Anolis sagrei: one gene and its partner. The protein of the gene in region 2 purifies or fractionates together with the protein of the main gene of each other region. This does not show direct contact. Links are inferred from orthologs where the notes say so. Each region holds a gene or a part of one and is shown on either strand. Other genes may lie near its edges. The genes, in order: SREBF2 and SCAP.

What was found.
Region 1: the proteins of SCAP (region 2) and SREBF2 purify together in Homo sapiens (affinity purification with western blotting; 3 studies listed by BioGRID and IntAct, with this or other methods). This does not show direct contact. The link is inferred for Anolis sagrei from reciprocal best matches to the Homo sapiens genes SCAP and SREBF2.

What each region holds. Positions count from the first base shown.
Region 1 is NC_090025.1:161,122,010-161,138,049, forward strand, and holds the start of SREBF2 (sterol regulatory element-binding protein 2), read right to left. Parts: upstream 7,271-16,040; 5' UTR 7,094-7,270; coding exon 7,009-7,093; intron 1-7,008.
Region 2 is NC_090026.1:131,094,841-131,110,557, reverse strand, and holds the start of SCAP (sterol regulatory element-binding protein cleavage-activating protein), read right to left. Parts: upstream 6,387-15,717; 5' UTR 6,183-6,386; intron 1-6,182. UniProt on the Homo sapiens protein: Escort protein required for cholesterol as well as lipid homeostasis.

The DNA of each region.
Region 1 (16,040 bases), on a different chromosome or scaffold from region 2:
CAGCCAAAAGAATGTCAATGGCACAATCATGGAATAATATAGTTATACTTTTGCAACTGGAAAATGGAATTATAAATAACTATTTATTTTAGCTATTCATAGCCAGTTATTTTCAAGCTGTGGGTAAATGAGCAGAAGCTTTGTTAACCGATGTATGTCTATATTCAGAAACAAAATCATTACTAGGGTATCATGTTCTACAAACAAACTACACAGTGAAAAGTCCACTGAGGGCAAATTATGTTCTGGATAGAATAGAGCACAATGTTGAGGCTCAAGAGAGTTACCTGAAAATAGTGGGTAACAGTCTATCACTAGGTTGTTCTCAAGTATTCCTTGAAGAATACTACATAAAAAGGGTTACAGAGAAGAGCATGATAGCAAGACTAAAGAACAAACCCACATTGTGCAGGAAATATAGCTACTACATATACACTGCGTGTGTATGCACTTTCAGGTCACCTTTTGATTTATGGTGACCCCATGAATTACAGTTTTCTTGGAAAGGAATATATTGCTGTTACACCAAATTGTGGAAGAAAAACAGGCATATACACAAAAAAGGAAGTATGGGGTCCTGAACACAGGTCTTTAAATACATACATACATAAATGTACATCTATAGTACAAAGGGTTGGATACACTCAGTATTTAAACTCAATCCACTAAGATCCATGAGACTTCAGATAACATAGCTAACTTGGCTCCTCTTGATGCCAATGGGGCTAAAGTAGGTATGAATCGGAGTGCAATCTACGGTGTATATCATTTGTGTTTCTTGTGTAAATTACATTTAATAACACAATACTTGAACAAGATACTGTACATATTATACTGGTACTCTAACAGTATCAGGAAGTAATGACAGATTTGCCTCTTAATTTACTGACCAAAATTTTACTATTACAAACTCAACTGAAAAAATATTTAAATAATAGTAATATAGCATAATAATCATCACATCAAAATAATGCAACACCCTTGCCATGTTGGGAACTTCCAAACAAGAAGTCTTTTAGAGCTACTACTCAAAAGGCATTGTACAGCTAACCCATCTTTTCTTCTTTGATAGAGCTTTGTGGAAAGAAAAAGTATAGTACAGTGTTCCCTCACTTATCGCAAGGGTTCCATTCCAGGACCGCCTGCAATAAGCGAAAATCCACAAAGTAGGGATGCTATATTAATATTTATACATTATTTTATATATTATTTTCTTACCCGCCCTTCCTTAACCACCTCCCGGCCCATCCCAAGGGCACCTGCCTCCTTGGCTTCCACAGAGCCTTCGGAGCCACACAGGCAGCAGCAGGCCAGGGAGCCAGGCCTTCCTCACTACACCTCAGGCCACCTCACTTCCAGGCTCTGGCCTCCCTGGCCTCCACTAGACGTAAATATTTAATTTTTTAATTAATATTTTCAAAAACCCGCAAAACAGTGAGTCCGCTAAAAACGAACAGCAAAGTAGCAAGGGAACACTGTAGTTGGAAAACATGAGATGACAATTGAAAATTATGACTTTGAGAACCCCAACCCAGGTAAGGTTCCATGAATGAAGTGTGGTGACAGCATGACAAAAGCACCCTGAAATTTTCAAAATATGTCTTCAAAGAAAATCTAACTTTTATTTTACCTTCCCACACACCTCAAATAGTTATTTCCAGCACTTCTAGAGTCACATCTCAAGAAAACCCTTTTTCCCTTTTTGGCAAATAATGTATTTTCCACCTCGGTTATTTATCCAGTTGGAAAGTGTATAAATACTAAGACTGCAAGTAATGTACAAAAGTGAGCCAAGTGGACGTAACAAGGAAATAAGTGTTTCAGCAAAAGAAACTTTAAAATGTTGGATATTCCTATTTTAGTCAACCTAAATTGGACAAGATATAGGGACTACGTTAGCATTTCAGTTTTAAAATGAGGAGCAGAAAACTACTTTCTCTTCACAGCACAACATGTATATTGTTGGTGTTTGTTAAGCCAGAATGTTACTAGTAAAACAATTAAGGTAAAAAAGTGAACTTGAAAGCAGTGCAGATATAAACACCTTAACTCAAATTTGGATAACCATTTTAATAAGGAGGAGGAAGGGGGGTGGAAAGAAAAGAAATTGGCACCACCCTTAAAACTAGGTGTCTTTATTTTAATACAAGCTTTCCCTTGGATATAAACCAATTTCTTCAGGTGAAGTATCTAGTAGTATTAGGGCCTCAGTGTAAAACATATATACCAGTGCCAGATGTTTTGGCCTTCAACTCCCAGAAATCCTAACATCTGGTAAACTGGCTGGGATTTCTGGAAGTTGTAGGCCAAAACACCTGGGGACCCACAAGCTGAGAACCACTGATATATACTGTGGTTGTGGGAGGGTTAACACAGAGACGCATACCCTTGGCTACTTCTTTTTAAGTATTATTAAAGCTGCATCTTCCTGGTATAACTGTGTATGTGTGGTATGGTGTATCCTTTCAGTGTAACATGGTTTTGGGAGAATATGGATAGAATTGCTAGTTGTACGCACTGCTCTCTACAGTTTGTGAAAAGCTAGTGTTCAGCAAGCACTTTTAAAGAGAGCAGATGTTGCAACTACAAAATGGTAGACTTTTGTTCCTTATGAAGTATTATACTACTACCATTATTTACAATTACTTAAGAATGTGATTCTTCTCCATTACTTTTATCAATTGCTTTGCATGACATATCACTAAGGAATACTGTAAATGTAGAATCTCAAAAAAATATCGTGAGTTTGTTGAAAAGTACCATTCTGAGATTACTCCAATTTTTTTTCTTGGCAAGTTTATGGAGGTGATAGTCACCCCTGTAGTTCAATGACTATTGAAAGTGACCCATTTAAGGTGGAATCGGGTGTCAAACAGGGATGTGTTATTGCCCCAACTCTATTCTCCATCTTCATCGCTATGATACTTCACCTTGTTGATGGGAAGCTTCCCACCGGAGTGGAAATCATCTATCGGACAGATGGCAAGCTATTCAACCTCAGCAGACTGAAAGCCAAAACCAAGGTTACAACAACATCTGTTATAGAACTGCAGTATGCTGATGACAACGTCGTCTGTGCGCATTCAGAAGAAGATCTACAAGCCACTCTCAACACCTTTGCAGAAGCATACGAGAAGCTCGGCTTGTCATTGAACATTGAAAAAACCAAGGTGCTTTTCCAGCAGGCACCAGCCAACCCCTCTCCAATGCCAGTGATACAGCTTAATGGTGTAACATTAGAAAATGTTGATCATTTCCGCTACCTTGGCAGCCACCTCTCCACCAAGGTCAACATCGACACCGAAATACAACACCGCCTGAGCTCTGCAAGCGCAGCATTTTTCCGAATAAAGCAGAGAGTGTTTGAGGACCAGGACATCCGTAGGGATACCAAGGTGCTTGTTTATAAAGCTATTGTCCTCCCAACCCTGCTTTATGCCTGTGAGACGTGGACTGTCTACAGACGTCACATGCAACTCCTGGAACGATTCCATCAGCGCTGCCTCCGGAAAATCCTGCAAATCTCCTGGGAAGACAAGCGGACAAACGTCAGTGTGCTGGAAGAAGCAAAAACCACCAGCATTGAAGCGATGGTCCTCCGCCACCAACTCCGCTGGACCGGCCATGTTGTCCGGATGCCCGACTACCGTCTCCCAAAGCAGCTGCTCTACTCCGAACTCAAGAACGGAAAACGGAATGTTGGAGGACAGGAAAAGAGATTTAAAGATGGGCTCAAAGCCAACCTTAAAAACTCTGGCATAGACACTGAGAACTGGGAAGCCCTGGCCCTTGACCGCTCCAGCTGGAGGTCAGCTGTGACCAGCAATGCTGCAGAATTTGAGGAGGCACGAGTAAAGGGTGAAAAAGAGAAACGTGCCAAGAGGAAGGCGCGTCAAGCCAACCCCAGCCGAGACCGCCTTCCACCTGGAAACCAATGCCCTCACTGCGGAAGAAGATGCAGAGCAAGAATAGGGCTCCACAGCCACATACGGACCCACAAGAATATTGGAAGACAATCATCCTCGGAAAGCGAGGGATCGCCTAAGTAAGTATTTACAATTACTTAAGAATGTGATTCTTCTCCATTACTTTTATCAATTGCTTTGCATGACATATCACTAAGGAATACTGTAAATGTAGAATCTCAAAAAAATATCGTGAGTTTGTTGAAAAGTACCATTCTGAGATTACTCCAATTTTTTTTCTTGGCAAGTTTATGGAGGTGATAGTCACCCCTGTAGTTCAATGACTATAATAGGTTTTAAAGTACTGTACTTCCCTGTTCTCAAATTCAGGTATAATTCTGGCTTACTAAATTTGGCTGCAATATTACTAAAACTTTCTAACATTACTAACAATAAGACCTTAATTAGACCTCCAAAATGCAAACAGCGACCACCAACTATATCCAAGTGAATCAAGAGAAATAAGCAAAACTCTTATGTCACACCTTAAACCATTACAGCCCAAAGAATGCCTCATCAGTATGCCCCCAAGATGCCAGTCACACCACAATATTTTCCCAGAAATCTCACTATGACTCACTGCTGTGTAACACCAGTTAATACTAGGCTACCATTTACATATGTGTGTCCACCCAACAGACTCAATAATTCCATTTGTCATATATTTGATATGTATCCTTAGTATCCACAAGTGTAGCAATAGCACCAGCAAAATGACACAACTAAGTCCAAAATTTCCTCATCTTCTGGATATGTTTTTGCTGTTAATTGCCCCCAAGTCAACTTGGAAAGGCTGTCATAAGGAAGAGGGAGCAGGTTTGTTTTCTGCTGCCCTAGAAACCAGGGTACAAGTGACAAGTAAGGAGATTCCACCTAAACATTAGGAAGAACTTCCTGATTATAAGAGCTGTTCTGCAGTGGTACTTGCTGCCTCAGAGTCTGATAGAGGCTCGATGATCATCTGTTGGGGGTGCTTTGATTGTGCTTTTCCTTCATGGCAGAGGGTTGGACTGGTTGGCCCTTGTGGTCTCTTTCAATTCTATAATTCTATGGCTTATGGTGACCACATGAATGAGAGACTCCCATGTTGCCCTATCCTCCACCACCTTATTCAAGTCAGGGCCGCCCAGGCTTCATTGAATGAGGCTATCTCTCAGGAATGCAGTCTTCCTTCTTTCCCTAATATCCTCCACTTTCCATGCATAATATTTTCCAGTGAGTCATGTCTTCTCCTGACAAGGCCAAAATACGACAGTCTCAGTTGAGTCATCTTGGTTTCTAGGGAAAGTTCCAGCTTAATTTAGGACCCATTTATTCTTCTCTTTAGCAGACCTAGTTCTCTTCACTGCCCGGCTGGATTTCCCAGTGGCGCAATGGGTTAAATCCTTGTGCTGCCAGGACTGTTGAAAGGTCTACGGTTCAAATCCAGGGAGTGGGGTGAGCTCCCGTTTGTCAGATCCAGCTTCCCATGTGGGGACACAAGAGAAGCCTCCCACAGGGTGCTAAAACATCCAGGCGTCCCCTGGGCAACGTCCTTGCAGACGGCCAATTAATTCTCTCTCACCACAAGCAAGTTGCAGTTTCTCAAGTAGCTCCTGACACAAAAAAAACCTGGCTTTCACAAGCAAAATCTTCTGCACAGTGGCACAGACATAAAACAAACACCAAGGCAGTGCATTAACCATTCCCTATGCAACCCAAAGCTAATAAATATATATGTTGGGCTGAGTTACACTTACCAACTTACATACAAGTTCAACTTAAGAACAAACCTACAGATCCTATTTTGTTTGTAACTTGGTGACTGCGGGTATATTCTTCTGTGAGCTGCCCCAACTCCCTTCAGAGAGATGGTGGTAGCACACAAAGCTTTATTATTATTATTATTATTAGTAGTAGTAGTAGTAGTAGTAGTATTAGTATTAGATGCCTTTTACAAGATTTTACTTTTCACAAGTGATGTAAATGTATTTTCTGTATATATGGTATACAATACTATGGCATGGTAAATTAAAAACAAAAAGGAGTTATTAAATGCAGAAACCACTTTGTGACTTTTGTCTCACCCTACTGTAATCGTATTGTAATAGTAATTCTGGAGTCTATCAATATGGAAAACTGGGTGGGATGGGGCTTCAAGCAAAAACAATCCACTCCTTCAGACAAAACTTTTTTTAAAAGTACAGAATGTCCACGCTGTAGAATTAATGCAGTTTGGCACCACTTTAACTGCCAGGGCTCAGTAGTATAGAACAGGCACGGGCAAACTTGGGCCCTCCAGGTGTTTAGGACTTCAGCTCCCACAATTCCTAACAGCTGGTCTAACAACTATCATGTCAGACTACACAGAGAAGCCACTGAAATCCACAAGCATGTGGACAATTTCAACAGAAAGAAGAAACCATGAAAATGAACAAAATCTGGCTACCAGTATTAAAAAAACTCAAAAATTATGACAGTTAATAAAGAGCAACACTCAAAAAGCAGGGGAATTCTATACAAGAATCAATCAGGGCCAGCTAACACCTCCAAAGGATTTCACCATGAAGCAGTCAGCCAGGCTTTGAAGCTGCAAGGCCATTAAATGCTAATCAAGGTGGCCAATTGCAACATTCACATTTGCCTCAAGCAGACAAGAGTTCTTTCTTCCACCCTGGACATTCCACAGATATATAAACCTCACTTGTCTAGTTTCCAAGAAGTCTCACAACCTCTGCCACAGATGTGAGTGAAACATCAGGAGAGAATGCTTCTGGGACATGGCCATACAGCCCCGAAAACCTATAGCAATCCAGTGGGTAGGCTGTTAGGAATGGTGGGAGTTGAAGTCCAAAACACCTGGAGGGCCCAAGTTTGCCCATGCCTGTTTTATAGACTCAGGGAAGTTGTAGTTCTTTAACCTTCTCTGCCAAAGAATCCTGGAGCCTCACCAAACTCCACAGCATCGAGGCCTGGCAATCAAAGTGGTGTCAAACTGCATTAATTCCGCCGTGTGGATGCACTTCCGGCCTGCTCCTGAGGGGGGCGCGGGAGAGGGACTCACCGTCGATGTCTCCCAGCGTGAGCTCGTCGCCCAGCTCCGTTAGGGTCTCCATGGTCTCCATGCTGCTGAGCTCGCCGCTCTCCATGGCCAGCGCGGCCTCGGAGGCGCCGGCGACACCCGGGACCTGAACCCTTCCTCCTCCTCCTCCTCTTCCTCCTTCCAACCGGGCGCGGCTTCAGCGGAGGCTGCCTGCGCTCCCGGCCTCACAGGCCGCCGCCATCTTGGGCCTCCCTCCTTCGCCGAGGCCCCGCCCCTCCACCTGCCAGGAGCGCGCGCCGGGCTGGTTGTCAATGAGACCAGGTCCGCCTCGACCAATCAGCGCGCGGAGCGGCTCGTGGTGTGATGGCGCGTCAGCGATCAGCAGCTTGGCTTTGGACATGAGGGGCATCCCCCGCCCGTCCCTCGCCTGTTGGGCCTTCCCGGATTTGAATATGCATGAAGGAGGCGGGGAGCTCATGAATTATTCAGAAGTGGCCTGGCCATTTAAGAGCTGTATTATATACTGGTCCTCGAGAAAAGCCACACAACTCCACAGTTGGGCACCGCAAAACTTGGGCCCTCCCTCCAGCTGTTTTGGACTTCAACTCCCACAATTCCTAACAGCCTCAGACCCTTTCCTTTTCCTTAAGCGGCTGAGAGGAAAAAGGAAGGGGCCTAGGGCTGTTAGGAAGGGTGGGAGTTGAAGTCCAAAACACTTGGAGGGAGGGCCCAAGTTGGCCCAGGCCTGTTATTTAGTACTAGCCTTCCCCTGCCATGCGTTGCTGTGGCCCAGTCTGTGTATATGTGTTTTGTGTGTGTGTGCATATGCATATATATTTGTGTATATGTGTAGATATGTGTGTGATTGTGTTTATATGATCATATATATGACCATATATATGCAATGAACATCATGTTTTTATTTATATAGACTAGCTGTCCCCTGCAACACATTGCTGTGGCCCAGTCTGTGTATATGTGTTTTGTGTGTGTATGTATGCATATATATTCGTGTATATGTGTGTTTGTGTATATATGAATATATATGAAATGAACATTACGTTTTTATTTATATAGACTAGCCATCCCCTGCCATGCATTGTTGCGGCCCAGTTGTGTATATGTGTGTTTGCATATAAATGTGGTTTGGCACATGAGTTGTAATGTAATTTTTGTTTTTGGGCTTTTTAAGTCTCTTCTGCTGTGTTTTTCAGTGTTTTTATGAGTGATGGTCACTCGTTCGCCTAATAGATGTATTGTGTCCAAATTTGGTGTTGATTTGTCCAGTGGTTTTTGAGTTATATTAATCCTACAAATGAACATTACATTTTTATTTATATAGACTAGCCATCCCCTGCAACACATTGTTGTGGCCCAGTTAGTGTATATGTGTGTTTGCATATAAATGTAGTTTTGCACATGAGTTGTAATGTAATTTTAGTTTTTTTGGCTTTTTAAGTCTCTTCTGCTATGTTTTTCAGTGTTTTTATGAGTGATGGTCACTCGTTCACCTGATAGGTGTATTGTGTCCAAATTAGGTGTCAATTTGTCCAGTGGTTTTTGAGTTAATCCCACAAACGAACATTACATTTTTATTTATATAGACTAGCCATCCCCTGTGTATATGTGTTTTGTGTGTGTGTGTGTGTGTATTTGTTTATATGTGCATTTATGTGTATTTGCATATACATATATATGTGTGTGTGTAGTTTTGCGCATGTATTGTAATGTAATTTTTGTTTTTTAAGTCTCTTCTGTGTTTTTCAGTGTTTTTATAAGTGATGGTTGCTCGTTGGCCTGATAGGTGTATCGTGTCCAAATGTGGTGTCAATTCACCCAGTGCTTTTTGAGTTATGTTAATCCCACAAACGAACATTACATTTTTATTTATATAGATAGATTGAGCCATCAGTCTCTGAGAGTGCATCTTACACTGTTGAATTAATGCAGTTTGAAACTGCTTTTAACTGTCACGGTTCAATAGTATACAATCCTCAGAGTAGTAACTCCCATTGTCCTCTGACAATTCCTACACACCCTGCTAGTATTTTTAAGTTGGTCATGATGGGTATGTGTGTTTAGTTTGATCCAGGTTCACCACTGGTGGGATTTACATGGCTTTCCAAGTGTGGGTGGACTACAGTTCCAATCAGACCACCACAACCACCACCTTCTCTCAATTATTTTAACTTGAATCATGAGGTATGTGTGTCAAGTTTGGTTCAGACTCATCAAACCATATAAGAGCCTTAGTGGTTCAAACATATATATAAATAAGCATACTTATATATATATAGTAAGGATTTGCAGCATCACATATATTTAGTTTGTTTTGGTACAATCTGTGATGCCATTGTACTTCAGCGAAAGTGTCAAATGTATCTTCGGCCAGTGTCCCGTGAGGCTGATTCTGTTATTTGCATAATGCACTGTATGGTCATAACCTGGATAGATTGAGAAGAACCATCTTCTTGGGACTAACCTTGTGGTTTCTTGATTAATGGGAGCAGAACTGAGAATTAACTCAGAACCACTAAGTGGCATAGCAGTAACTCTGCCAGGAAAATCATAAATTGAATTCAGGTGTTATACTTAATTGACGAGTTTTAGTTCCTTATGTTTTCTAATTCTCCAAAACCTTTTCATCAAGTGAGGTGAAAAGAAGGAGGGAAAGACAGCTAGCAAGTAGCTTGATGGTATAGCCAGAATGTTTGTGCTTCATATTTTGAGATAGGAGTGATGTTCTACTTGGAGATGGAGAATTTTCTGAAAGCTCACAGTCACAAGTTGCACATGTGATAAGTATTTGGCCCCACTATTTATAATCTCTGTCTATATGCCCATGTATGGAGAGGACAATACACTTGTCAGTTTAGAATAATGATTCATACGTCTAGGAAAGGGTGTGCCATAATATAATCTGTCGAGCATTAAAATGCCAAAAGATTATACACCTTTTTAGACAAGTAAAACAAAAAGAGGAACAATGGGAAAACACAGCAGTGTTCCATTTCCTCCCTTTTCCTACTAATAGTAAAGGTAAAGGTTTTCCCCTGACATTAAGTCCAGTCGTGTCTGACTGGGGGTTGGAGCTCATCTCCATTTCTAAGCCGAAGAGCCAGCATTGTCCGTAGACACCTCCAAGGTCATGTGGCCAGCATGACTGCATGGAGTGCCATTACCTTCCCGCCAGAATGGGACCTCTTGATCTACTCACATTTGCATTTTTTCCCGAACTGCTAGGTTTGCAGAAGCTGGGGCTAACAGTAGCAGCTCACCCCACTCCCCGGATTCGAACCTGTGACCTTTCGATCAGCAAGTTCAGCAGCTCAGCGGTTTAAACCACTGCACCACCAGGGGCTCCTTCCTACTAATAATGTGTTTTAATTTCCCATTTAGTACACAGCTATAATCTAATAGCTAAACTCAAGCCCTCAAACCCAAAAATTAATAGGTGCTCCACCCATCCGCAGAGTTGCTCCTCCAAAGAGCAGAATGCATAGATAAAAACTGCAACCATCCATCACTATGGGCTGATGGGAAACATCAAGTTTTTCTACTTTAGTGCAGTGAAAACAATGTCATGGAACATTGCACACACTGCATATTTCTTTCAATAGTTTCAGCAAACAGAACTTTACTGCACAGACGTTCCGTCTACAGAGGGATCACCATGCAAATCTGCAACAAAATGCACTGTCCAGGATCTAAATTGGTTATATCACATGTCAAACTCAAGGCCCATGGGCCAGATCTGGCCTTCCATGCCATTTTATGTGGCCCTCCAGATGCTAGACTACATACAGTTCTGTATTCCTCATCATTAGACAACATGATTAGAGCTGATGGGAGTTGTAATAAATCTGAAACGCTGCAGATTGTCCTGTTTTGTCAGGATAGTGGGGTTTGAATTTAGATAGAAGGCTTGTGGATATGATTTCTGACTTTCAAATGCTCTTTAACCTTTCCCCAACCTCAGAGCCACAAGTGTTGTTGGGTTGCTATTCCCATTATTACTAGGTCTGTATGGCAAATAATGAAAAGTGATGAGAGCTCTCATTCAATAAGATCTAGAATGCAAATAGGGTATAAACAGAAGAGCACTGACCACTCCTTTTAAAAAATTATAGTGGACCTTCTGTATCCATGGATTCTCTGTCCATAGATTCAACGGTGCTCTGAAGGCAACCACAGGGCTGATGTGGCTCTTGAGGAAAATGAGTTTGACACCCTTAGGCTAGATATTTTGATGAAAAAGTTTAGGTCCATATTCACAACTGCATTTCTCATAACTGTGAGCGAGGAAAGAGGCATTCTGTGCTGTCTCCTTAAAAAAACATTTCACATCACAACCAACGTTTTACTTTTCCACATCACCCACCTAAACATCTGTTGTGTAATGAATGACTCACTAGTTGCTTTCCAAGCCCATGAGAAATTGAGTACTTTGAGCAAGATATACAGGGTATTTCAAAATAATGGATGCAATTTCAAACCAATACATTATATGGTGACAGCATGGTACAATTACATAAAACGTTCCCAATGGTTTAATGACTTATCAAATTTTATTAACCATTTTATAAATGTCTATGTGCCATCCACTTGCTGTATGGATACCATCGGATTTCAAAGCAAGTCCATCTTTCCTCTCCTCAAATTATGGGTTTAATTTTAATTTAAGCTCTAAGAGAATTTTCTTGAGACATTGGTCACTGGGAACTGTACTTTAGAGTTATTTATTTTTATGTATGTTTGAAAACAACCCTCACACCATTTATGTACAGTCAACACAACTCACTAAGAGTTCCTCTTAGCTAGTGGTTCTCAATCTTCCTAATGCAGCAACCCCTTAATACAGTTCCTCATGTTGTGGTGGCCCCCCAACCATAAAATTATTTTTGCTGCTACTTCATAAATGTAATTTTGTTACAGTTATGAATCATAATGTAAATATCTGATACGCAGGATGTAGTTTCATTCACTTGACCAAATTTGGCACAAATACCCGATACACCCAAATTTGAACACTGGTGGGATTGGAGGGATTGATTTGTCATTTGGGAGTTGTAGCTGCTGAGATTTATAGTTCACCTACAATCAAAGAACATTCTGAACTCCAGCAATGATGGAATCGAACCAAAACTTGGCACACAGAACTCCCATGACCAACTGAAAATACTGGAAGGGTTTAGTGGGCACTGACCTTGAGTTTTGGAGTTGTAGTTCACCCACATCCAGAGAGCACTATGGACTCCAACAATGATGAGTCCATAGTGCAATGAGTTCATAATACTGGTGGAGTTTGCGGAAAATAGACCTTGATATTTGGGAGTTGTAGATGCTGGAATTTATAGTTTACCTACAATTAAAGAGCATTCTGAACTCCACCAACGATAGAATTGAGCCAAACTTCCCACACAGAATCCACATGACCAGCAGAAAAATACTGTGTTTTCTGATGGTCTTTGGCGACCCCTCTGACACACCCTGGCAACCTCCCCAGGGGTCCTGACCCCCAGGTTGAGAAACGCTGTTCTAAGGTAAACTGAAAATAATAAAAGCTCTATCACTGTAAAAACATATTAACCTTTCCATATCTTTAACATTGATAGGAGAGTTTTTCCTGGAATTCAGCCAGCATTAACTATAGATAAAATGTTGTTCTGCAACTTTATAGCTTCCCCTCCACCATCACCACCAACTAAATCATGCCATATTTTCACAAGAGATAGCAAGAAATTTAAGAATTAAAGCAATAGCTGGAGCTTCTTTAACATTCTCAGGTACAGCTTCGGGAATAAGTGTGTTCATGGCAGTCCTTTACCAAGCATAACCCTTTTTCTATTCCTCCTTGGCCCTATTATTTCAGATTCACGGAAGCAACACAATACAGAAAGTCAATTGGAGCATGATTATTTCTGGGGTTAAAATATAAACAGTGCCAGCATGTTATAGTGGTTTGAGTGTTAGGATGATGACTCTGGAGACTGAGATTCGAATCCCTGCTCATCCATGAAACACACTGGGTGATTTAGGGCAAGTCATACTGTCTCGGCCTCAGAAGAGGAAAAGGCAACCCCCCTCTAAACAAATATTGCAAACAAAACCCTGTGCTAAGTTTGCCTAAGGTCACCATAAGTTGGAAACAAACAAAAACAACAACAAATAATTTGAATATAAGCAGCCATTTTTAGGCATAATGGATTACTCTCCATCAAAATAAATAAAATTTAGGCTTACATTCTTCATATGCTTCTAGTGTCTTGGTGTCCAAATACTGTACTAATGGATGCAGAAACAGGAGACACAGAAAAATTAAAAACAAAAATATGGACACATTTCTTGTTGATAAGAACTGCCAATAAAGAAAAAATGCCAAATCTAGCATTTATGTGTTGAATAAAGTAACCATAAAGCATTGATCAATCTACCACAATAAAACATAAAATAAAAATGAAAAAGACCAAAAAAGCACATGCACTTAGGCTTTTAATAAAAGATACACTTGAATACTGCAACAATAAGAGTGCAAAAATGTTTGTAAATCTTCTATTGCAAGTATTTTACCAAACAATGAAAGTAAAGGTAAAGTTTTCCCTGACATTAAGTCTATTCGTGTCCGACTCTGGGGAATGGTGCTTATCTCCATTTCTAAGCCGAAGAGCTGGCATTGTCCATAGACATGTCAAGGTCATGACTGCATGAAGTGCCGGTACCTTCCTGCCAAAGTGGTACCTATTGATCTACTCTCATTTGCATGTTTTTGAACTGCTAGGTTGGCAGGAACTGGGCTAACAGTGGGAGCTCACCCTGATCCCAGATTTGAACAGGCGTCCTTTTGGTCAGCAAGTTCACCAGCTCAGCGGTTTAACCTGCTGCACCACCAGGCTGAAATAATGACTCAATATAATGTTTTTCTCTGTGTAGGTTTGTTTATGCAGGTTGTTTCTCCCTCACCCAGCTATCGTTTCCCTGAGTGCAGCCTGCTGTAAAAGGGGTATGGAATCACTGTCTAAAACAAAAAGAATGAAAAAGGGCCATGATTTAGATTATCTTCATTTTCCAAATATCAGCTAGTGAAAACACTTAAAAAACAGTTAGACAAGGAGGCAACAGTGTTATAACGGGACATGAGATCACTGCAAGTCCATAGCTAGAAAATGCAAGAAAAGGTTTACAATCCAACTTGTGCTTCAACAAGCCCTGAAACAAAGCTCATTTGAAAGTTAATTTGCAGCTGATAGGTGCCGTAGAGTTTAATATAGCAACCATTTAAATTCCAAAATACTAATATTTTGGGCCAGTAGCTATAGTACTTAAAATGTATTTAAAGAAAACCAAATACTGAGGATACTATGAAGCATTTATAATGAACTAGTTGCCCCCTGCCACGCGTTGCTATGGCCCAGTCTGGTGATCTGGAAAATAAAGTAATGAGAAAGTGTTGGTTTCTAATATATGTAATTTCTTTATGCTTGTGGGTAAACAGTATTAAGTTTTCTTGCCCTGAAGGGGGTTGGACTGGATGGCCTTAAGTATTTTCTATTGGTCATAGGGGTTCTGTATGGGAAGTTTGCCCCAATTCTATCATTCTTGGGGTTCAGAATGCTCTTTGATTGTAGGTGAACTATAAATCCCAGTAACTACAACTCCCAAATGCCATGGTCTATTTCCCCCAAGCTCCATCTGTGTTTCTAGTTGGGCATATGGAATATTCGTGCCAAGTTTGGTCCAGATCCATCATTGTTTGAGTCCATAGTGCTCTCTGGATGTTGGTGAACTACAACTCCCAAACTCAAGTTAAATGCCTACGAAACCCTTCTAGTGCTTTCTGTTGATCAAAGGAGTTCTGTGTCCCAAGAGTGGTTAAATTCCATCATTGGTGGAGTTCAGAATGCTCTTTGATTGTGGGTGTACTATAAATCCAGCAACTACAACTCCCAAATTACAAAATCATTTTTTTGAGTGAAGGACATACATTGGGTTGTTAGGTGTATTGTGTCCAAATTTGGTGTCAATTTGTCCAGTGTTTTTTGAGTTATGTTAATCCCACAAACAAACAGTACATTTTTATTTATATAGATGTCAACATTTATGCTTTAAAGCCCCCCCCCCCCCCCCCGGGGCATGAGAAGCAATGTATTCCCATGTAATAGTTAAAAGATTGTTTCAGGAATCCCTACAACTGCTCCAGAACTGAGCTAGAAGAATCAGAAGAATGAAGAACAAATATATTCTGAATTAAAGTCGTGACAGACTCTAAAATCTCATATGGCAGCTTATAATATTATATCTGTATCTATAGGAGGAGTCAGTCATCTCTCGTGACCAGATACAGGAGCATGTGACTTTTATCAGTGTTTCCAAAACACAAACGGTTCATGAACTAGGCATCAGATTTGGGTGGTTTTTTAAAACGTTCAATTTTATTCAAGAAACGCAAAGTTAATTTCCAGTTTAAATACATATCGGAAAAACAAACAAAGCGTAACCATCTCTCTTCATAGAAAATAAAAGCAATCTCCATCTTTAGCCTTGTAAACAGCCTGAAGGCAGCACATCGAAATCTGCAGCATCCACAGAAATACCCTCCTTCCTCACAAAATAATCTTCCATTGGCAAGAGCAAGCTACCCTAGACAGCTGTGCAATTCATTCAAGGCCTGAAAATAAAATTTTATCCAAAACTGGCCTTGATAGAAGTAACATGTGTGCCGAGTGATAGCACAGCAAGTGGTCATACAGGATGGGGAAGTACGATGCCCCAGTCATCTGAATTTTGAGATTTTTCTTGGTCTGGATCAATTCCAGTCCTGGACAAAAGCTACCCATTGTGCCAAAACAGAGTCATTTTGGGGCCAAATGCCCAGAGTGTGCTCATGTGTTAATGTGTGAATCCACAATTCAACTCATCAGTGGAGAAATATGAAATGGAAAGAGAGCATTGACTATGGCCAATGTCAGTCTTTCTCTAATATAAAGCCAATAGTACAGTGTTTCTCAACCTGTGGGTCCCCAGGTGTTTTGGCCTACAACTCCCAGAAATCCCAG
Region 2 (15,717 bases):
ATTGCACAGAATTTAGATTAATATATCTCTTTTGTAAATTTCATGTATTTACCAGATGCAGGATATATCAGAATGGTATCATACTTTCTATCCTCAAGGCAGTATGATGCAAAGTTGATTCCAAGGGTAAACATCTGCATGTTATTTTATAAGCAAATTATGATATCAGATAAATCTAGCAGACACAGACACCACCCACTTTGGTTAGGTTTGGATCCTACACATGCATATTCAATTTCTGTTTTGTCTTTCCTTGCAAATAAAAGGCCAGTGTGACTTAAAAACCAATTAAAAACACCATTGCAAATACATATAAATACGATATTAAAATCCATATTAAGATTTAATCTGATTATGCATCAAGGCATACAGACAAGTATAATAAACAGATTGTCGGAAATCTCATCTATTTGCATCTGAGCAGGGCTTGACATGCCATCCTGACCAGCACCATTTTTTGAATGCCATCCACACGCCTGAAATCCCAGTTGCCCCCAGCCCTGACTCACACATTTACGCACAATGAGCTTGAACAAATACACAGGAAGAAACTGTGATGGTGAAATCTGCAGTGACTCAGAGTGGAGGTGAAGAGTGCTGCCAAGGTGTATTTTCCACTGGCTTCACAACGCAACCTGAGTCCTGTTCACAGACACAGTATCTCCACATAGTTGCACATTAGCAGAGATGTGAAGAGGGCAAACCATCAATCAGGAAGGCCCTGGGCTGAATCTTGCCTGGGTTATTTGCTCCCATGGGTCTCTGGCAAACTACTCTCTCAAATGATTTCACCATCAGATATATGAGTGCTAATACCTTAGAGACAAGGTAGGCTACTTATAACAAATACTTTTAATAAACAAAGTTTACAGGATTTGTTTTAAGGGTTGCGATTGTTTCCAAAGCCCTCTGAATATTTAAAAGTCCTGCAAAAATGGCGATTATTTTATTTCTATATGAAAGGGATGGTTAATGAAATCTTCTACAACTTTAGACCTTCTACTACTCACAAGTGGCAATATATTTCCCAACCACTTTGCAGATTTTGTTTATTTATTTATTTACTATATTTGTATACCGCTCTTCTCAGCCCTCAGGCGACTCAGAGCGGTTCACAATAGCAAAATTCAATGCTTAAAACATCATAAACAGTTAAAAACAATTAAAACAATAGCATTATAACAATCAATTAATAATAATAATAATAATAATAATAATAATAATAAACCTTTATTTATACCCCGCTACCATCTCCCGAAGGACTCGGTGCAGCTTACAAGAGGCCGAGCCCAAATACATCAGTAAAAACAACAACAACAATACAGACAATAAATAAAATCATAAACAAAGCAGTAAACATTAACAATAACACCATGATGCATTAAAAACCTGTGGCAGGGCCAAATGTAGTAATTAAAAATTTAAAAATAATGCTGGGCATGACCAGGTGACATATAACTAGGATAGGTATTTGGAGAGGGATGGAGCGAGCAGACAATCCTAGATCACTAGTAAAGTGCATTTAGGGACATATTAGGGACATATCCTATATTTGTTACACTGCCTATTCAAATGCCTGCTTGAACAACCAAGTCTTCACTTTCCTCCAAAATGCTAACAGAGAGGGGGGCGATCTAATTTCTGCAGATAGGGCGTTCCACAGCCAAGGGCCACCACTGAGAAGGCCCTGTGTCTCGTCCCCGCCAGATTCTTTCACCATCCCACACTCATAAGATCCAACAATTGCCACTAAGAACAACTGCAGACAAGATTACAGAACTAATTTATCACACTCAAATAAAGTTTCTATGGAAAGCTCTTGTCAGTTTCAGCCCTACATCCAGCCATGGAAGTTGATGGTTGATCTCAGACCCGTTCCTACTTTTTAGGCCCTTGTTCTCATTTAGATGGACAAATGGACAATAAACAGAGGCTGGATGGCCATCTGTCAGGGGTGATTTGAATGCAATATTCCAGCTTCTTCATAGGGGGTTGGACTGGATGGCCCATGAGGTCTCTTCCAGCTCTTTGATTCTATGTGTTTCCAGGCTGGAAGTAGATGGAGAAGGCTCCCAAGAGGCAATCTTCCCTTAGAATCATAGAATCATAGAATCAAAGAGTTGGAAGAGACCTCATGGGCCATCCAGTCCAACCCCCTGCCAAGAAGCAGGAATATTGCATTCAAATCACCCCTGACAGATGGCCATCCAGCCTCTGCTTAAAAGCTTCCAAAGAAGGAGCCTCCACCACACTCCGGGGCAAAGAGTGGTTCTTAACCAGTGGTTCTCAACCTGTGGGTCCCCAGGTGTTTTGGCCTGCAACTCCCAGAAATCCCACCCAGTTTACCAGGTGTTAAGATTTCTGGAGTTGAAGGCCAAAACATCTGGGGACTTATAGGTTGAGAACCACTGCCCTAAACAAACCACATGCAAAGTGGAAACCCTGCTTAATCGGGAGCAAATTATGCCAGTCTCCTTTCCTTGATATGCTCAATTTATTGATTTGTCAGTTTGGTGAGGGTAATGAAAATAACAATACACAGAGCCACTAACCAGCCATGGAAACAGAAAGGTCCAAGAGTCAGAATGGCCACCTCCATCCAAACTAGGCCAGTTGGTATAACCTGCCTGACAGGTAGATATTCACTGTGTAAATGTTTGAAGAAGGGGGAAAACAATGAGCATGTTATCAGCAATTTGGGCCTGAGAGGGAGAAACCTGACAGATTCACAGCCACCCACAGGCCTAAACTTTCAAAAGAGATAAGGAAGAGATAGAAATGTTGGGCCAGCTCCAAGGTTTGTTCAATCAACCAAAACCCAGGTCTCCAGGCTAAGTGTATAAGGTGCATATGAAACTTAAATTAACTAATTAACTAATGTAAATTAACCAGGGTTCTATTTCCAAAATATTTCATGATGTATATCCAAATATTCCAATATCCAAGGGGGAAGATTAGAGTATCCCTTTAATCAGAATTTCAAAATCCAAAATTGTCCCCCTGGGTGTTTGAGAGAGTGGCACGTTTCCTTTCTGGAGATTCAATGTACACAAGCCTTGTTCTGTTCACAAAATTATTAAAAATATTGTGAATAACACTGTCTCCAAGGTATTGTCGAAGGCTTTCATAGCCAGAATTACTGGGTTGTTGTGATTTTTCTGGGTTGTATGGCCGTATTCCAGAAGCATTCTCTCCTGACATTTCGCCTGCATCTATGGCAGACATCCTCAGAGGTTGTGAGGTCTGTTGGAAACTTATTTGTACCCCGCCTTTCTCAACCCCCCAGGGGGCTCATAAATGCTTCTGGCATGCACATATGTGGTGGGAATGTCCAAAGGCAAAAACATTTTGAGAACAAATAACAGAAAAAATGGAGAAAATATTTAAGATACCACTTCAAATAAATATGGAGTTGATGTTCATGGGAATATTAGGAAACAAGAAAATCAATCCAAAATATCAAGATTTCTTCAAAGCAATGATTCTTGCTTCTTCAAAGCAATGATTCTGTGATAGCTTGGGGTTGGAAAGATGCAAAAAAACCGAATATGGCTAATTGGAATAAATATTTGTTTGACCAGATCCAATCAGAAATTATTGCAAATGTAACCTGTGAGGATATGAAGGAAGATAAAATGAGGAAAATTAAAGAGAAATGGTTCATATATTCAGAATAGATAAAAAGAGGCGAAGCCAATGTAAATATTGTACAGTGATGGGAAAAGCTGAGCTCATGGATGGAGTTAAAGTTCTAATGGAAATGTGGTATTTGGGGTGGGGGGGGGGGAGGGAAGGGAAAAAACAAAAACAAAAGAGTGAATGAACTCTAAGACATACTAGATAAGTGTGTGGATAATACTGAATGGAGGAGGTGGAGGATAATGGTGTAGACTTGTGGTTATAGACGACATGCATGTGAACATCCTGCGGCTCCTCCATGATGACAACAGTCTTGGACAGCAATGGCTCCCAAAGTGACCCATTTAAGGTGGAATCAGGCATCAAACAGGGATGTGTTATTGCCCCAACTTTATTCTCCATCTTCATCACTATGATACTTCACCTTGTTGATGGGAAGCTTCCCACCGGAGTGGAAATCATCTATCGGACAAATGGCAAGCTCTTTAACCTCAGCAGACTGAAAGCCAAAACCAAGGTTACAACAACATCTGTTATACAACTCCAGTATGCTGATGACAACGTCATCTGTGCACATTCAGAAGAAGATCTACAAGCCACTCTAAACACCTTCGCAGAGCATAGGAGAAGCTCGGCCTGTCATTGAACATCAAGAAAACCAAAGTGCTCTTCCAGCAGTCACCAGCCAATCCCTCTCCAACGCCAGAGATAAAGCTTATTGGTGTAACATTACAAAATGTTGATCATTTCCACTCCCATGGCCACCACCTCTCCACCAAAGTCAACATTGACACTGAAATACAACACCGCCTGAGCTCTGCGAGTGCAGCATTTTTCCCAATGAAGCAGAGAGTGTTTGAGGACCGGGGCATCGGTAGGGAGACCAAGGTTTATAAAGCTATTGTCCTCCCAACCCTGCTATACACCTGTGAGAGGTGGACTGTCTACAGACATCACATGCAACTCCTGGAACGATTCCATCAGCGCTGTCTCCGGAAAATCCTGCAATTCTCTTGGGAAGACAAGCGGACAAACGTCAGCATGCTGGAAGAAGCAAAGACCACCAGCACTGAAGCGATGGTCCTCCGCCATCAACTCCGCTGGACCGGCCACGTTGTCCGGATGCCCGACCACCGTCTCCCAAAGCAGTTGCTCTCCTCTGAACTCAAACAAACTAGTCCAATGTGGGCTAGGCAAAACTACGGTGAGATGGATCAGTAATTGGTTAAATGGACGAACGCAGAGGGTGCTCACCAATGCTTCCTCTTCATCTTGGAAAGAAGTGACTAGTGGAGTGCCATCAGCAGGGTTCTGTCCTGGGCCCGGTCCTGTTCAACATCTTTATTAATGACTTAGATGAAGGGCTAGAAGGCAGGATCATCAAGTTTGCAGACGACACCAAATTGGGAGGGATAGCCAATACTCCAGAGGACAGGAGCAGGATTCAAAATAATCTTGAGAGATTAGAGAGATGATTGGCCAAAACTAAAAAAAAATGAAGTTCAACAGGGACAAATGCAAGATACTCCACTTAGGCAGAAAAAACGAAATGCAAAGAGACAGAATGAGGGACGATGAGGCCTGGCTCGAGAGCAGTACGTGTGAAAAAGATCTCGGAGTCCTCGTGGACAACAAGTTAAACATGAGCCAACAATGTGATGTGGCGGCAAAAAAAAACCCCAATGGAATTTTGTCCTGCATCAAGAGGAGCCTAGTGTCTAGATCTAGGAAAGTCATGCTCCTCAGGCTCTATTCCGCTTTAGTTAGACCACACCTGGAATATTGTGTCCAATTCTGGGCACCACAACTCAAGAGAGAGATTGACAAGCTGGAATGTGTCCAGAGGAGGGCGACTAAAATGATCAAGAGTTTGGAGAACAAGCCCTATGAGGAGCGGCTTAAGGAGCTGGGCATGTTTAGCCTGAAGAAGAGAAGGCCGAGAGGAAATATGATAGCCATGTATAAATATGTGAAAGGAAGCCACAGGGAGGAGGGAGCAAGCTTGTTTTCTGCTTCCCTGGAGACTAGGACGCAAGGGAACAATGGCTTCAAACTACAAGAGAGGAGATTCCATCTGAACATGAGGAAGAGGAAGAACTTCCTGGCTGTGAGAGCCGTTCAGCAGTGGAACTCTCTGCCCCAGAGTGTGGTGGAGGCTCCTTCTTTGGAAGCTTTTAAACAGGGGCTGGATGGCCATCTGTCAGGGGTGGTTTGAATGCAATATTCCTGTTTCTTGGCAGAATGGGGTTGGACTGGATGGCCCAGGAGGTCTCTTCCAACTCTAGGATTCTGTGATTCTATGTAAACATTACAATCAAACCGAAGATCACCTAAAACCCATTCAAATATTGTAACTACAACACTGAAACGGCTTCCCAGGCTGGTTCCTAATCGCCATTGAGGAAGGAGGAGTTCAACAGGTCGAGGCCTCCCTCAAAGGGTCCCCAAAACAGGCCCAAAGGGAGCCTGATTGGGAGTAGTGCGGCTCCCCTCAGCCCCAGGCGCGGCCTACGGAGCCTCCCTCTCTCCCTTCCCCTTCTCACCTCAAAAAAAGACGGGGAACAGCTCTCCAACCGCCTCCTTCCTTCCTTTCTTCCCCTCCGCGCCTCCTCACACGCCGCCCGCTTTCGCCTTCTCCTCGTTCTCCTCCTTCGCCGCTTCCCGGCTTCCGTCGCTCCGCCTCTTTTTCGTGCGCATGCGTAGAAAGAGCCCGCGAGTAAGGGAGGAACAAACCCTTTCCGCCATTTCTCCTGCCCTAGACTTCAACCTTTTGCGCGCATGCGCCACCGGGTGTTTTTTTTTTCTCTTCTGCTCTGCTAAGCCACGCCCTCCGCTCGCTGATGCCAACTGCTGCAAAAGCTTCCGCTTGGTCCTAGCGCCGGGACGAAGATTGTGCGCATGCTCCAGGAAGAGCCTTAAAGCTGTCATGGGAGTAACTCCAGCTATATAACCTATCTCTACACATAACAATGTTTGTTTGTATTTCTCAAAATTGCTTGCTTTTCGTTCATTTACAAGGATTTAAGACAAAATATTATGGTTTTCTTCATCATCCTCATCATCAATAATAATAATAATTTCCTTCCTCTATTCCTAGGATTTGGCAAACCTTGCACCTAGAAAACCTGATTGGTGAGTATAAGCAGTAATCTACATAAATAATCAAGAGAAGGTGGCAAGACTATACAGAAGATCTGTATAGGAAGGATAATAATATCGAGGAGAGTTTTGACGGTGTGGTGAATGAATTAGAACCAGACATCCTGAGGAGTGAAGTGGAATGGGCCTTAAAAACAAAGATGGCAGGGACCTAACAGAAGCTGAAGAGATCAAGAGAAGGTGGCGAGACTATACAGAAGATATGTATAGGAAGGATAATAATATCGAGGAGAGTTTTGACGGTGTGGTGAATGAATTAGAACCAGACATCCTGAGGAGTGAGGTGGAATGGGCCTTAAAAACAAAGATGGCAGGGACCTAACAGAAGCTGAAGAGATCAAGAGAAGGTGGCGAGACTATACAAAAGATCTGTATAGGAAGGATAATAATATCGAGGAGAGTTTTGACGGTGTGGTGAATGAATTAGAACCAGACATCCTGAGGAGTGAGGTGGAATGGGCCTTAAAAACAAAGATGGCAGGGACCTAACAGAAGCTGAAGAGATCAAGAGAAGGTGGCGAGACTATACAGAAGATATGTATAGGAAGGATAATAATATCGAGGAGAGTTTTGACGGTGTGGTGAATGAATTAGAACCAGACATCCTGAGGAGTGAGGTGGAATGGGCCTTAAAAACAAAGATGGCAGGGACCTAACAGAAGCTGAAGAGATCAAGAGAAGGTGGCGAGACTATACAGAAGATATGTATAGGAAGGATAATAATATCGAGGAGAGTTTTGACGGTGTGGTGAATGAATTAGAACCAGACATCCTGAGGAGTGAGGTGGAATGGGCCTTAAAAACAAAGATGGCAGGGACCTAACAGAAGCTGAAGAGATCAAGAGAAGGTGGCGAGACTATACAGAAGATCTGTATAGGAAGGATAATAATATCGAGGAGAGTTTTGACGGTGTGGTGAATGAATTAGAACCAGACATCGTGAGGAGTGAAGTGGAATGGGCCTTAAAAACAAAGATGGCAGGGACCTAACAGAAGCTGAAGAGATCAAGAGAAGGTGGCGAGACTATACAAAAGATCTGTATAGGAAGGATAATAATATCGAGGAGAGTTTTGACGGTGTGGTGAATGAATTAGAACCAGACATCCTGAGGAGTGAGGTGGAATGGGCCTTAAAAACAAAGATGACAGGGACCTAACAGAAGCTGAAGAGATCAAGAGAAGGTGGCGAGACTATACAGAAGATCTGTATAGGAAGGATAATAATATCGAGGAGAGTTTTGACGGTGTGGTGAATGAATTAGAACCAGACATCCTGAGGAGTGAGGTGGAATGGGCCTTAAAAACAAAGATGGCAGGGACCTAACAGAAGCTGAAGAGATCAAGAGAAGGTGGCGAGACTATACAGAAGATCTGTATAGGAAGGATAATAATATCGAGGAGAGTTTTGACGGTGTGGTGAATGAATTAGAACCAGACATCCTGAGGAGTGAGGTGGAATGGGCCTTAAAAACAAAGATGGCAGGGACCTAACAGAAGCTGAAGAGATCAAGAGAAGGTGGCGAGACTATACAGAAGATCTGTATAGGAAGGATAATAATATCGAGGAGAGTTTTGACAGTGTGGTGAATGAATTAGAACCAGACATCCTGAGGAGTGAGGTGGAATGGGCCTTAAAAACAAAGATGGCAGAGACCTAACAGAAGCTGAAGAGATCAAGTGAAAGTGGCGAGACTATACAGAAGATCTGTATAGGAAGGATAATAATATCGAGGAGAGTTTTGACGGTGTGGTGAATGAATTAGAACCAGACATCCTGAGGAGTGAGGTGGAATGGGCCTTAAGAAGCATTGCTAACAACAAGGCAGCAGGAGACGACGGGATCCCAGCTGAACTGTTTAAAATCTTAAAAGATGATGCTGTCAAGGTGATGCATGCCATATGCCAGCAAATATGGGAAACACAAGAATGGCCACCAGACTGGAAAAAATCAACTTATATCCCCATACCAAAAAAGGGAAATGCGAAAGACTGCTCAAACGTACAGTGGCCCTTATTTCTCCTCATGCCAGGAAGGGAATGCTCAAGATCCTGCAAGGAAGACTCCAGCAAGACATGGAGCGAGAGTTGCCAGATGTTCAAGCTGGGTTTAGAAAAGGCAGAGGAACGAGAGAGGAACCAGATTGCCAATATCCGGATGCTGGAGAATGGAGAAAGGCAGGAAGTTTCAGAAAAACATCTATTTCTGTTTCGTTGACTATTCCAAAGCCTTTGATTGTGTAGGTCACAATAAATTGTGGCAAGTTCTTGGTGGTCTGGGCATACCAAGCCACCTTGTCTCTCTCCTGAGGAATCTGTACAAGGACCAAGGAGCAACAGTCAGAAGTGACCACGGAACAACAGACTGGTTCAAGATTGGGAAAGGCGTCCGGCAAGGCTGCATCCTCTCACCCAACCTTTTTAACTTGTATGCAGAACACATCATGCGAGGATGTGCGGGGCTTGAGGAATGCAAAGCTGGGGTGAAAATGGCTGGAAGAAACATTAACAACCTCAGATATGCAGATGACACCACTCTGATGGCCGAAAGCGAGGAGGAGCTGAGGAGCCTTCTAATCAAGGTGAAAGAAGAAAGCGCAAAAGCTGGGTTGCAATTAAACATTAAAAAAACCAAGATTATGGTGACAAGAATGATTGACAACTGGGAAATAGAGGGAGAAAATGTGGAGGCCGTGACAGACTTTGTATTTCTAGGCGCAAAGATGAGTGCAGATGCAGACTGTGGCCAGGAAATCAGGAGACGCTTCCTTCTTGGGAGGAGAGCAATGTCCAGTCTCGATCAAATAGTCAAGAGTAGAGACATCAGACTGGCAACCAAGATCCATTGCCTAGTCAAAGCCATGGTCTTCCCTGTAGTCACCTACGGATGTGAGAGCTGGACCTTAGGGAAGGCTGAGCGAAGGAAGATCGATGCTTTTGAGCTGTGGTGTTGGGAGGAAAGTGCTGAGAGTGCCTTGGACTGCGAGAAGACCCAACCAGTCCATCCTCCAGGAAATGAAGCCTGACTGCTCACTGGAGGGATGGATAGGAGAGACAAAGTTGAAGTCCTTTGAATGCCACATCATGAGAAGAAAGGAAAGCTTAGAGAAGACAATGATGCTGGGGGAAATGGAAGGAAAAAGGAAGAGGGGCCGACGAAGGGCGAGGCGGATGGATGGCATCCTTGAAGTGACTGGATTGACCTTGAAGGAGCTGGGGATGGTGACAACCAACAGGGAGCTTTGGCGTGGGCTGGTCCATGAAGTCACAAAGAGTCAGAAACGACTGAACGAATGAACAATTCCTAAATTGCTGATTTTACCCAGCTGGTGTGGTGCTTAAAGTCATCAGAGGTGATTCTGCTCGGGAGTGTGTCAATTCCACTCTTGTGCGACTGAATGTGCAATGGTGCAGCTCAGCTGCGCACTTTCCTGTTGTGCAAGAGTTAATCCAGCTCCGCACCTGCCATTGAATACTTACCAAACTTCCCACACAATGGGGCAAAGCTTGTGTCCTCATCCCAGGGCTTACTCAATGGCCTTGGCACAAACGAAAGAACGTCTCATTACTTATGTAATAGCACTTATGACATGAGGAAGAACAAAGGGATTAAGATTTTGGCCATGACAGAAGATGCAGAAGCATTGCACTATCCGTCCTCCACACTTGTGGACTTTTGCAGATTTATCTCGGGGTGCATCTTCACTACAGAATGAATCCAGTTTGACACCACTTCAACACTCATGGGCACATGCTGTTGGATCCTGGGAGTCGTAGTTTTGCAAAGTCTATAGCAGGCATGGACCAACTTCGATCTTCCGGGTGTTTTGGACTTCAACTCCCACAATTCCTAACAGCATACCGGCTGTTAGGAATTGTGGGAGTTGAAGTCCAAAACACCTGGAGGACCAAAGTTTGCCCATGTCCGCCTTAACCCTACCAAACATGGAAGGCTGATAAGAACTCTGTTTACATTGCCATGTAATACAGTTTCAAACTATATTATATATCAGTATAAATGAGGTCTAGATGTTTGTATCCCACTTGTGATGCAGATGCCGCTGGAGGAGGAGCCATATAGTTTAATACTATTTTAATACTGTATATATATATTCGTTTGTGGGATTAACGTAACTCAATAACCACTGGGTGAATTGACACAAAATTTGGACACAAGATACTGATCAAGCCAACAAGTGACTATCCTGCATAAAAACACAGAAAAATACAGCAGAAGAGACTTAAAAAGCCAAAAAAACAACAAAAAATACATTACAACGCATGCGCAAAACCACATATATGCACAAACACACATATATACAAATATATACAGACATATATGCACACACAAAACACATACACAGAAAGGGGAAAGGAGGGAGAGAAGGAGGGAGAGAAAGAAGGAGAGAAGGAAAGAAAGAAAGGTAGAGAAGGCTGGAAGGAGAGAATGAAATAAAAAAGTGAAAGAGGGAAGGAGGGAAGGAAGGAAAGGGACAAGGAAGGATGGAACCAAAAAGCAAAGGAAGTGAGAAAAGAAACAGAGAAGGAAGAAAGAAGAAGGGAAAGAAAAAGAGGGAGGGAAGGAAGGAAGGAAGGAAAGAGGGAGGGAGGGAGGGAGGGAGGGAGGGAGGGAGGGAGGGAAGGAAGGAAGGAAGGAAGGAAGGAAGGAAGGAAGGAAGGAAGGAAGGAAGGAAGGAAGGAGAGAATGAAATAAAAAAGTGAAAGAGGGAAGGAAGGAAGAAGAGAAGGAATGAAAGAGAGAAATAGGGAAGGAAGGAAACAGACAAGGAAGGATGGAACCAAAGAGCAAAGTAAGCGAGAAAAGAAACAGAGAAGAAAGAAGGAAGAAGGGAAAGAAGAAGAGGGAAGGAAGGAAGGAAAGAGGGAGGGAAGGAAGGAAGGAAGGAAGGAGAGAAAGAAAGGAGACAAAGAGGGAGGGAAGGTTGGCCACAGCAACGCGTGGTGGGTGAATCTAGTGTATATACATAAGCTGTATTGCAATGCTTTTAGTTATGAGCCACTTTGAGTTGCCACATGAAGAGAAAAAGTGGGATGTAAACAAACACAGTAATGATAATAATAATAATAATAATAATAATAATAGTCCCATCCCATGCTATGCAGGAAGACACAATCAAAGCACCCCTTACAGATGGCCATTCAGCCTGTATCTTCTACTAGAACAGCATTTCACAAACTAGGGGTCGAGACCCTTGGGGGGGTCGCGAGGGGGTGTCAGGGGGGTCATCAAAGACCACCAGAAAAAACATATTTCTGATGGTTTTAGGAATCGGGTTTGGTGCAGATCCATCATTGTTTGAGTCCACAGTGCTCTCTGGATATAGGTGAACTACAACTCCCAAACTCAAGGTCAATGCTCACCAAACCCTTCCAGTATTTTCTATTGGTCATGGGAGCTCTGTGTGCCAAGATTGGTTCAATTCCATTGTTGGTAGAGTTCAAAATGCTCTTTGATTGTAGACGAACTATAAATCCCAGCAACTACAACTCCCAAATGTCAAGGTCTATTTTCCCCAAACTCCACCAGTGTTCACATTTGGGCATATTGAGTATCTGTGCCAAGTTTGGTCCAGATCCATCATTGTTTGAGTCCACAGTGCTCTCTGGATATAGCTGAACTACAACTCCCAAACTCAATGTCCATGCTCACCAAACCCTTCCAGTATTTTCTATTGGTCATGGGAGCTGTGTGTGCCAAGATTGGTTCAATTCCATTGTGGAGCTCAGAATGCTCTTTGATTGTAGGCAAACTATAAATCTCAGCAACTACAACTCCCAAATGTCAAAGTCTATTTTCCCCAAACTCCACCACTGTTCACATTTGGGCATATTGAATATGTGTCAAGTTTGATCTAGATCCATCATGGTTTGAGTCCACAGTGCTCTCTGGGTGTAGGTGAACTACAACTCCCAAACTCAAGATCAATGCTCAGCAAACCCTTCCAGTATTTTCTGTTGGTCATGGGAGTTCTGTGTGCCAAGATTGGTTCAATTCCATTGTGGAGCTCAGAATGCTCTTTGATTGTAGGCAAACTATAAATCCCAGCAACTACAACTCCCAAATGTCAAGGCCTATTTTCCCCAAACCCCACCAGTGTTCACATTTGTGCATACTGAGTATCTGTGCAAAGTTTGGTCCAGATCCATCATTTTTGAGTCCACAGTGCTCTCTGGGTGTAGGTGAACTATTTATTTATTTACAGCAGTGTTTCTCAACCTTGGGTCGGGACCCCTGGGGGGGTCATGAGGGGGTTTCAGAGGGGTCGCCAAAGACCACCAGAAAACACATATTTCTGATGGTCTTAGGAACCCTTTTGGCAGAGAAGGCTGAAGATCTCTCTGCCTGTCCTCATCCGTGTTGGTGAATGACAATCCCCAACCCCACCAGTAGTTAATGTTGGTCATGTTGGTAGTGTGCCATGTTTGGTGCACATCCATTTTGGGGTGGGTTCAGAGTGCTATTTGATTATAGGTGATCTATAAATCCCAGCAATTACAACTCCCAAATGTCAAGGTCTATTTTCCCCAAACTCCACCAGTGTTCACATTTGGGCATATTGAGTATTCATGCCAAGTTTGGTTCAGATCCATCACTGTTTGAGTCCACAATGCTCTCTGGATGTAGGTGAACTACAACTCCCAAACTCAAGGTCAATGCCCACCAAACCCTTCCAGTGCTTTCTCTTGGTCATGGGAGCTGTGTGTGCCAAGATTGGTTCAATTCCATTGTGGAGCTCAGAATGCTCTTTGATTGTAGGCAAACTATAAATCTCAGCAACTACAACTCCCAAATGTCAAAGTCTATTTTCCCCAAACTCCACCAGTGTTCACATTTGGGCATATTGAGTATTCATGCCAAGTTTGGTTCAGATCCATCACTGTTTGAGTCCACAATGCTCTCTGGATGTAGGTGAACTACAACTCCCAAACTCAAGATCAATGCTCACCAAACCCTTCCAGTATTTTCTGTTGGTCATGGGAGTTCTGTGTGCCAAGTTTGGTTCAATTCCATTGTTGGCAGAGCTCAGAATGCTCTTTGATTGTAGGTGAACTATAAACCCCAGCAACTACAACTCCCAAATGATGAAATCAATCCCCTCCAACCCCACCAGTATTCAAATTTGGATGTATTGGGTATTTGTGCCCAATTTGGTCCATCTTGCAGATTAGATATTTACACGACAATTCATAACAGCAGCAAAATTACAGTTATGGAGTAGCAACGAAAATAATGTTATGGTTGGGGGTCTCCACAACATGGGGAACTGTATGAAGGGGTCGCGGCACTAGGAAGGTTGAGAAGCCCTGTAATTGAAGATGGGTTTTCCCCCAAAGGGCTGGAGCTTTCCAAGAAGGGAGCGAGAAAGCCTTTCCTCCTTCCTTTCCCACTGGTGCATTCCACGGCAGAGTGTCCCCTTTTGGCCTTGGGTCAAGTCCCTTTGCCCTGCGCTTGAACCCTGTCCCGGGACACAGGCTGCCACCCTGCCATCAGGCTTGGAGCCAGCTCTCCTTGTATTCACAGATTCAGATCAGGTTCCTTTGCTGACTCTGGCGCCGCTCCGATTGCGTGCCCCGACTCCCCGTCTGCAAAGCATTTCACTCTTTCGAGTTATCTTTTGAGACCGGCGTCCTCGCCTGCAAGGATTCCAGCCAGGCAACTCAGCCGCTCCATGAATATTGAGGTGCTAAACCTTGCCCGGTACCTGGTTATCTATGCCTATCAGTACCAGGTTGTTTGCCTTGGCAGATAAAGCCAGACACAGGCGTGTCCCCAGGGTAGGCCTTCCATTTGGTCTTCTTTGATGTAATCCTTCCTGCAGAGAAAACAGGAATGCCAATGTTTTGGAATAATCTGAATGTCGGATGGAGGAATGGGTTCAATCCCTGCTCAGCCATGCAGTTTCCATGGATGCATCTACACTGCATATTTAATTAATGCAATTAGACACCACTTTAATGCTCCCTTGATGTCACAGCATCGAGCCTTGGCTCTTAAAGTGGTGTCAAGCTGCAATAGTTCAACTGTGCAGCTGTGCCCATGGGAACCTATTGGGAAGCCTTGGGTAGGTCACACTCTCTCAACCTTGAAGTATCTTCTGAATAACTATGGCCAAGAAAACATGATAATAGGGTTGTTATTATTATTATTAATAATAATAATAATAATAATAGAATCATAGAGTTGGAAGAGACCTTGTGGGCCATCCAGTCCAACCCCATTCTGCCAAGAAGCAGGAATATTGCATTCAAATCACCCCTGACAGATGGCCATCCAGCCTGTTTAAAAGCTTCCAAAGAAGGAGCCTCCACCACACTCCGGGGCAGAGAGTTCCACTGCTGAACGGCTCTCACAGTCAGGAAGTTCTTCCTCATGTTCAGATGGAATCTCCTCTCTTGTAGTTTGAAGCCATTGTTCCATTGCATCCTAGTCTCCAGGGAAGCAGAAAACAAGCTTGCTCCCTCCTCCCTGTGGCTTCCTCTCACATATTTATACATGGCTATCATATCTCCTCTCAGCCTTCTCTTCTTCAGGCTAAACATGCCCAGCTCCTTAAGCCGCTTCTCATAGGGCTTGTTCTCCAGACCCTTGATCATTTTAATCGCCCTCCTCTGGACACATTCCAGCTTGTCAATATCTCTCTTGAATTGTGGTGCCCAGAATTGGACACAGTATAAATTGGACACAGAATTGGACACAATACAAAGACCGTGCTCTTTCAAGTCAAACCTTGAACAACAATGGTTTGTTACCTGAAGATAAACATCTGCATCAGGAGAGGAAGATTCAAGATATTTTCAAACAGGACCATTATTTATTAGAACAGCAGAAATATTCCTATCAAAGACTCAATCTAATAATTCTCAAGTATGACAGATCAGAGGAGTCTTGCTCACCCGCTA